Drosophila melanogaster: one gene and its partner. The protein of the gene in region 1 binds, or shares a complex with, the protein of each later gene. Each region holds a gene or a part of one and is shown on either strand. Other genes may lie near its edges. The genes, in order: Nup153 and Nup58.

Region 1 (4,848 bases):
CATTCGCTTGGCATCGATCAATGGCGTGGAGTAGCTTTCAAGTAGGTTGAGAATGCGCATCGTGGTGTTCGACAGCCCGGTACCGGGTTTCTTACTGCCACCTTGGCCCACAGATGTCTCCGCAAGACTGCCGGAGTCTGAAGGTCGCATATCTACCGCTTTCATACCGTATCCAATACCACCAGTCATGGAAGCATGCAGCTGATGCGCCGGTGAGCTGCCGGCAGAATTGAGTCCCAACATTGAGGATGCGGCGGATGAGCTAAGATTGCTGCGACTGAAGAGGCGATTGTTGCCGGAATTGCCCCCGAAGGTGGTGCGTCCCTGGTAAAAGGGCGAGCTAGAGGCAGATGCAGAGCCTGAGTTAGAGGCACTGCCACTAAGCAGACGACTGTCGCTCAGTGCCGACGTACTGCCGTATATGGACGCATTGAAGCGACGTCGTTGGGTAAGGGAATTCAGCGACCACGTAGAATTCCGATGCGATTGCTGTGCGGCGGTGTTGCTTCTGTTAAATATTGACTTGGAGCTCTGCAGATTTCCGTAAAATTCTAAATTGCTGTTGCTGTTGTAATGCGACGGACGAAGTCCGTCGTGCCCTTCACCATTGTCGTGGTATTCGTTCATATCGCTCTCGGACTGCGAATCACCGCAACCTCCTGCGGCCGCAGACAGTTCACTTCGTCTTGTTTTTGTCTCAATGACATTGTTGTTGTTATTATTATTATTATTATTGTTGCTAGTATTGTTGTTGGTCCTGCTTATTCTCAGCAAATGATTGAGATGTTCTTCCGAACTCATGGCCGGGCCAGTCCCCGTCTCATCCATGGTAAGATCGCGTCGATGGGTTTGCTTGCCTATGAGCGATGGTCGCTTGTGGTTAGGAAGGCTGGATAGGCTGTTGTTGTAGCTGGTAGCGGTGCTGCTGCCTCCGAAAGGTATGTTCAGTGAACGGCGGATGCTAAAATGATTTAAATGATTGCCTTATAATTTTCACTAAGGTTTTCTTCTTTTTCGTCTTGGCAATAGCCTGGCTATGCAACGCCCAAATTTGAGTTTGTTTGAAACGAGCTCTAAGGTAGTTATCTTTTTGAATTCCATATTAACACTTTTAGTAAGCATGACTGCAGTAACATACCTGTGTGGCAGATCCCCGGTGCTTCCCTCGGCAGCTTCGTTGCCCGTGAAAAAGTTGTACGCGGGTTCGCGCTGCCGTTGACTACCATACAAATTGAGGTGATTGCGCCGATGTGGCGCAATGTGGCTGACGCCCTTGTACATCTGGGAGCTGGAGGAGCTGGTGGCAGCCGCGAGCGGAGCAGCAGGCGTGGATGACAAAAGGGGCAGACGACGCATGTTCGGCAAATTGACGGGGGTCTCCAGCTGAAAGGGATTCAAGATTAGTTGGGAAATGTAGACAGGATTGAAGATGTGATCTTACCTCCAGGCGTCGACGCTTGGTCTGCACGGCGGCGGACTGTTGGAGATTCTCCTGCTCTTCATCGTCATCCTCCTCATCGCCATCCTCGTCGTCCTCTTCCAGTTCATCCTCCTCGGCCTCATCCTCGTCACCGCCGGCAGCTGCAACAGCCCCGGCTCGCTTGCGCAGCAGGAACACATTGTACTCGCTCCGCCGCGTCTGTTCATCCTCGGCGGCCAGGTCGTGTTCGGCTATGTTGTCGGCCAGGGCCACCTCCTCATAGTTGAGGCCTTTGGCATCGGAGCCGTCATCAAGATCATCGGCTGCATCGGCATCCACTTCGGCTAGCATTATCCGACGGCGTCCTCGTTTCCGCTTGGTAGTGAGGCGTCCATTGGACTGGCGTGGCTGTGACTGGCGGAGATTAGCTGGGGAGGATAAGGCATCGTTCCCATCTTTGGACGACGGCGAAAACCAACCGCTCAAGGAGGCGGGCAGAATGCTGGACACGCGCATCTTCATCTTCCCCATGATGGACTGCAATTGCAATTGCACGGAAGTTGGATATTTGATGGGAACCAAGTTATCGTCGACTGTACTTACGTTGTTGCTGTCAGACTCCCGTAGGGCTCCCGCCGAGGATTCATCCTCTTCCTCCTCCTCCTCCTCGCTTTCTTCAGGCAGCTCCTTGAGCGGCGTCAGCGGATGCTTTTTGGCCAATTCGGCTTGCGAGGATTCCCTTTGCTCCTGTGCATCCTCCATTATGCCGCTTTAGATTCAGACTCACCTTTTTAGCCGGCGAAGCAACGGCACAAAAGAGAGATGCAAAAAAAACGCGAAAAAGAAGCGTTGCCGCACACACAACAAAAAACGTAAGTAAAAAAAAAAACCAAAAAAAAAGCACACACTGTTGCAATTCCTGCGAGCTAGTTTGTATGTGTAGGTGCGGATAATGTTCGCTCACTCGCTTCGTTCTCACTCTCTATCCTGCCTTCTCTCTCTGTCTGTGCGTGTGCAAAGGTGTGAGTGCGCTTACGCACGCCGTCGTGGTTTTTTTTGTTCGCGTTTCGCCGAGGTTTTACACACGCCGCGATATTTTTAAATAATATTCTGTTTGGCGCCACAAACTGGTCGCGTTTGATCAGGATTTGACTTCTTGGCCACCAATGAAGAGCAAATTCTGGGCACAAGCACTGCAAAATTAGAGGCGGGAAAAAGGATTGAATACCGAATTCGGGCGAAGCGCTCGAGGTTCTTGCTTTTGGCTTTGCCCTTACCGCTTTCCAGCATGCCGCCCGTTTTCTTCAATATTTGTTTTACTTTTGCCGGATAGATTTGATATATATTTGATATATTTTCACCTTCCTTTTGTCTTTGTGCTTCTTCCACTTCTTCCGCACACACTGCTTTCGCAATTCTTCGTTCCTCTTCTTCACGCTCTGCTCACACACACACGCGCGCAGCGATTCGGTACGAATTTTGGCGTTTTACCGCCGCGAAATCCACACTTTTAATTGCAATTTAACATTTGCCGCTGGTCGCATTCAGGTTTTCCATTGTTGCACGAGAACACGCACCACCGATTTGCAAGAAACAGAATTTCAAAAGAGCACGATTTGATTGGGGAAAAAACGCGTGTGTGGCCACAAAGTAGAGCTGGAACCAAAATCGATGTTTGTCAGATACTATCGGCGTGTCGGGCAGCGTGTGCTAATCGATACGTTGCCTGCAGCTATCGGTTACATGCACGTTTACGGTTTGGAAGTCTGTAATTATTAAATATTTTTAATTGGTGATGAACTGCCATACGGGCTTATTACTCAAGAACCGCTTCAAGTGCGACTTATAACATATGTAACCATTTGCTTGTGTTGTCATTTGAATACTAAGCATTTGCATTGACTAAAAGGAATTCTCGTTTGTATCTTTAAGTTGGAGTGAGGTATTTGTTTAGGTTTTTACTTGGCTGTGTGATAATGCAAAAGTTTAAATACTGTACTAATGTTAATCGATAGTTGTCCTAAAAAGAATTTCCAGCGAGTTAAAATTCAGCGAGTGCTAGAGTGACCACAGATTCTGCATTAGAAATAAAGCAAATATAATAAACGAACATAATATGAGCGCCAAATATAAAAGCCCTTATTAAGGTGCAAATATGACAAAGAAATTATACAGTATAAATGTTAAATAAATCTTAAAAAATGGGTTATAGGGGAAACCATATTGTTTTGGTTCAATTTTAGCAAGCCATTTTAAAACAACTTGAATTTACTACTAGATGAATCAAATATGTTACCTCTTAACGTCTAAGAAATTTACATTTTTAGGGCTGGAAAATAAATACCGCTAGTCGATATCGTCATCTTCTCAGTTTTGCCATCCCTAGTTGTTGTTATTGTGTTCGTCGTGTTGTTGTAGCACAGTTGTTGTTGTTGCTGCTGCTGGGCAAACAAGTGTTAAAAACTATTTGTGCTGCAATATTTTCAGCAATTACCGACCGCCCTCGCCGCTGTTCACCACCCAACTTAACCAGCAACCCAGATTGGAGCAACAAAATCCACAAAGGCATAAAGAATCGACTTACACAATAAAACCTTAATCGGTTGGGTAAACAACTTGATTGCTGTGAGCAGCCAGTTGGGTTAATCTCTTCGATTTGTCAAGTCCAGCAACAATGAGCCAAACGGAGGCTAGCAAGACACCCAAGATTCCGGACTCGGAGCCGGACGGATCGAAGGGCAAAGGGAAGCAACAGCTGGAAACTTACCGGGTATATGTGGTCACCTGGAATGTGGGCAGTCGATTTCCGGATAACATATCCCTCCGCCATCTGCTGGGACTGCAGGATGTGACGGTGGATAAGGACACGAAGGAGACTAATGCCCACTTGCCGGACATCTATGCGTTGGGGCTCCAGGAGGTCAATGCCCAGCCGCAGCAACAGGTGTTGGGACTGTTCAAGGAGGATCCGTGGACGCACAAGGCTAAGGAACTGCTACGCAACTACGACTATGTGGCCGTAAAGACCGAGCAGATGCAGGGGCTGCTGCTCAGCATGTTCGTGAGGCGGCAGCACGTTGAGCACTTGCAGGACATCGAGGCGGAGTTCACGAGGACCGGTTTCGGTGGCATTTGGGGCAACAAGGGCGCCGTCAGTGTCAGGTTCACCCTTTACGGCTGCGGACTGGCCTTTGTGGTGGCCCATCTGACTGCCCATGACCATATGATGGACGAGCGCATCGAGGACTACAAGCAGATACTGGAGAACCATCACTACCACGTCAAGCGGTATAGGGAGATCTACGATCACGACTATGTCTTCTGGTTTGGCGATCTGAACTTCCGACTGCAGGGCAGCGATTCCTCGACGGAAGTGCGCGAGTTGGTACGCGATGAGTCCCAGCACGAGGCCCTTATCCAGCGGGATC
Region 2 (4,314 bases), on another chromosome or scaffold:
GCTCGCTTTTTTCTACATGGAACAACAACGAATTTTCACTTTAATGTATGGAATAATAATACAGCAGTGTTTCCAGTTAGATTAACCACTATTATTACGGGTCTAAATTATGGATTAGAGTTGAACGTGGACATTGAATTTACAGCGCACAGTTTGGGGGGCCACCTCTTTACTTGTGGTTGTAGTTTTTGTGCACCTCGGGCGAGATGTTGTACACGTACTGCAGGATCTCCAGGATGAACGGGTCCTTGCGGGTCTGGATGGCCCGGTCCATGTCGGCCAGCTTAACGCGGATATCCGCATCGATCTTGGCCGCCACGCCCTCGCGACTGCCCATGTGCTGTAATCGGGGTTCACACGGTATTACATGTACATAAGTTTCCCTATGTGGCGTCTTACCTTGGCCTCGAACTCCTTGAAGGCGCGCTCGCGCTCCTGGCGGAACTTCTCGATCTCCTCGGTAGCCTCGTCCTTGGCTTGCTTCAACCTCCTTGCCTTGCCTGCGGGATTACCCAGAAATCCAGATGATCATATCAGTTCAACTTGGCAAATCAGCCCTCCGCAAGATGACCTTCCATAACTTAAAGTGCCAACTCGCACAAAAACTATTTACTGCACTTAAGTTGCAGTCTTAGTGGCCACAAACAATTTTAATTTAATTTAATTTAATTTAATTTAGTTTAATTTGATTTATATCTCGAGTTATGGAGGATTGACTTGTATTTACTTTTTTCCACCACATCATGTGACCCACACACAACGGTGATGGTGGTTATGGTAGCACGGGGGCGGGGTGGTGAAAAAATCGCAGTTACTTGTCGCCCTGCCATTTCCAATTGGATTTTTGTTTCTGAAAATGAAACTTACGTTTACGAGCCTCGGCGACCTTCTCGGCTGCCTTTTTCTCGGCAGCGAGCAACTGCTGGATTCCCTGCGTCTGGCTGGCCATAATTTCCAAACTTCTCTAATTCCTCGCCGTGGTGTATACTGTGCAAGTCGAAAAAAGCAAGTGCGACAGAATCACAATCGACGACGAACTGTGAAAAATGTCATATGACGAAGTCACACACACGCAAACTCACCACGGTGGCTAGTTGGTGTGGGTAAGCAGTGTGCCGGAAAGCTGGGTGCTGCGAAACTCTTGGAGATGGCTCGGTCGATTGCATATCGATTAGCTTAGTTGTATATTATTGTTTGGTATTGTATTGGCCAGAAGTATTAAATAATTTGACGTTTTTGTAAGCATTAACTTTCTCATTTATTCCCATCATGAATATTTTTCTTTTATAATTTTGTAAACTTTAATTCATTTTAATTTAAATGCAGCGTTTAATCTGCTTCGCACTGTAATAGTTCCGGCTGTATTTAAAGCTATTGTAAGAAATTAGTTCGTAAAAAATTCTTTATATTATTTTAAAATTGAAATACATAAAGATTAAATTTTGAAATAATTTATTCATATTAATATCTGAAGGCTATCGTTTGATATTAAATAACAACCATGTTGTAGTGGACCGAACTCACCACACCTCAGACCAAAATTAAATATTTGAAAATCACAAATCGTAACTATATGAAGCTGCAAATACTTTATATATCTTTAGCCATAGTGTATTTATTTCAATCAATTTGAATACTTTGTTGATATTTTTCCGAATAAATCTCTGCTGACTAGCTATCGATATCACCGATAGTGTCATCTCTGTCCTAGAAGTTAAACCACAGATGCTCAGGCATTAAACAAAATTAATTTCGAAATTTGTTGCAGTAAATATAGTTTAATTGTTTAAAATTCCTGTATAAATCCTTAAGAGGGGTGCCTAAAGATGTTTACGCCCACCACGAACAACGCCATTGGAGGCGCCACTGCTGCTACCGGCGCTTTTGCTTTTGGCGCGCGACCGGCGACGACGACTGCTCCGCCTCCATCCTTTGGAGCAGCCACCTCTACGCCAACCTTCGGTGCTGCTCCGGCCACCACCTCCTTGTTTGCAGCTCCCGCGGCCACACCGGCCTTTGGGGCACCAGCTGCTACGCCGGCTTTTGGAGCACCTGCGTCCACGCCTGGTTTTGGCGCCACTTCCACTGCGGCGCCGGCTTTTGGAACGGCTGCTGCCACGCCCGCTTTTGGCATACCAGCAGCAACGTCGGCTTTTGGAGCTCCAGCTGCTACGCCCGCTTTTGGAGCTGCAGCTGCCACTCCCGCTTTCGGAGCACCCGCCGCCACGCCCGCTTTTGGAGCACCCGCCGCTACATCCGCCTTTGGAGCACCAGCAGCCACAACGGCGTTTGGAGCGCCAGCTTCCACGCAAGCATCGGCCTTCGGAGCACCTGCACCAGCCGTGGGCACTGTGGCTCCCACTTTCTCCTTTGCCACCCCGGCCACAAGTGCGCCGACCACCGCGCCGCCGGCCTTTGGATTCGGCACCACCGCCACAACGGCGGCAGCTGCGATGCCAGCATCCCTCAGCTCCGGAATTGGATCGTTTTCCTTCCCCAAGCCACAGGCCACCACGGCGGCCAGCTTGAACTTTAACACAACCACGACGACGGCGACGGCACAACCCTTCAACACGGGTCTGAAACTGGGAACCACCAATGCGACGACAACCCTAGGAGGAGGAGGAATCTTTAGCAAGCCAGCGGGTCAGGCAGCTGCCCCGGCAGCATCGACTTTCGTGGGTCTGGGGGGGATCGATGTGACCGCCACGCAACCAAAGCTGGGGGACAATAAGCAAGATGGCATCAAGGTGCTGACCATGAGTCTTTCACAGAGAAACAAAATAATCATTTTATTTTCGACCACTCCAGATTAAGGAAACCCAAGTGCCCGACGAGATAATAAAAACGGTGGATGGCCTAAAAGCGTATATCAAACAGCAGAAGACCATCTCCTCTGACATTGGACGGACATCCACCTCCAAATTCACGAATGTCAGCCACGAGATCACGAACTTGAAATGGGCGCTGCAGAATATGGCCACTTTAGTTGAGGGCAGCAATCAGCAGATCCGCCTGATGCGCCAAGAGACCGTCAAGGCGATTCAATCTCTGGAGATGGCCCAACGCACGCAGGACACCCCAGCCGGCCTGCAGTTCGAGAACAATGCTCCGTTCCAGTACTTTCAGTGCCTGGTGGCGAAGTACGAGCAGGATTTGATCGCCTTTCGCCAGCAGATCGCTCTGACCGAGCGCCACATGCACGCGATCTCGAATCCGCAGAGTATTTCGCCGGATGATCTAAAGCGTGGCTTTCGCCAACTTAATGAGAGTTTCATCTCGCTGGCGGGACGCCTCCACGAGGTGCATCAGCGGGTGGAGGAGCACAAGGAGCACTACCTAAACCTCAGACGCTACCGCCTGCGAGACACCACCAACGTTTTCGAGCGGATTGACAATCCTCCGCTGCCGACGGTGGAACCTCAACGGATTAGTAGCGGTCCAACGCCCTTCTCCAACATCTCGGCTCTGATGAACAAGTCCTATGCAGCGGCGGCCAGTTCCGCCAGCAATGCGACAGGCAATTGAGAATGGCACTCTTTACAAGTTTCAATAAATCGTTATGTCGAAAGGGGCCTAGACTTTCACTTTCAGTTATAGCATAGAATATATATTTCACACGCAACAATCTTTATTTCTTCACCACCTGGATGACGTCCTCGTCGGCCATCACATGGGCAATCCCCACGCGCTGCGGCGAGTATTTCGTGGAGGTGCCCCACACCAGGGCATACTTGAACTGCGCCGCCAGCGTGCGATGGATGGCATGGCACACATGCTCCACACTGACGCCCTAAACAAGGAATATATAAGGAATTAGAGTTGCTTTACCAGGCTGAAGAAGGAATTGGATGAATGGAAAACAGTCTCTTGCCTTTCTCAGAATCAATCCATCGTCAAAGTCTGGAGGAGCGCCTGGCTTCTTTGTGTACACTCTGATGAGCTGGAGAGCTTCCCAGAGCGCCTCCATCATGTAGTCCAGATTAAGTTTCATGTTGCAACTAACCACTATCGAGTTTGGCTGGCGCGCCAAGCGGTCCACCTCCTCGATGGAGATCTGATCGATCTTGTTGTAGACATACAGACAGGGCAGATACACACGGTTGGCGGTGACCACGTCGATGAACTCGTCCTCGGTGCAGTCTTCGCGGAAGAGCACCTCGGCGTTGAAGATCTTGAAGGAGTGCAGGATGGTCTGGACCATTTTCTCGTTGCAGCGCGTAAGGGAACAGGTGGCGTTGAAGCTCAGGCCGCCGCCCTTCTTCTGCTTGAAGTAGATGTTGGGCTTGCGCTTGTTCAGACGAATGCCCACGC

Evidence for each region.
Region 2: Nup153 (region 1) and Nup58 share a complex: the UniProt entries of both Drosophila melanogaster proteins name them as parts of the nuclear pore complex.

Annotation. Positions count from the first base shown.
Region 1 is NC_004354.4:16,597,489-16,602,336, reverse strand, and holds the start of Nup153 (nucleoporin 153kD), read right to left. Parts: upstream 3,097-4,848; 5' UTR 2,698-3,096; exon of another isoform or gene 2,614-2,697; 5' UTR 2,183-2,613; coding exon 2,024-2,182; intron 1,958-2,023; coding exon 1,442-1,957; intron 1,384-1,441; coding exon 1,139-1,383; intron 962-1,138; coding exon 1-961. Other genes in the region: CG9784 (uncharacterized protein), read left to right, coding at 4,095-4,848. UniProt on the Drosophila melanogaster protein: Component of the nuclear pore complex (NPC), a complex required for the trafficking across the nuclear envelope. Functions as a scaffolding element in the nuclear phase of the NPC.
Region 2 is NT_033777.3:19,643,339-19,647,652, forward strand, and holds Nup58 (nucleoporin 58kD), read left to right. Parts: upstream 1-1,687; 5' UTR 1,688-1,826; coding exon 1,827-2,750; intron 2,751-2,811; coding exon 2,812-3,528; 3' UTR 3,529-3,568; downstream 3,569-4,314. Other genes in the region: Vha13 (vacuolar H[+] ATPase 13kD subunit), read right to left, coding at 170-340, 400-500, 868-949; CG6195 (uncharacterized protein), read right to left, coding at 3,632-3,793, 3,875-4,314. UniProt on the Drosophila melanogaster protein: Component of the nuclear pore complex, a complex required for the trafficking across the nuclear membrane. Together with Nup54, required for transposable element silencing regulation in ovarian follicle cells.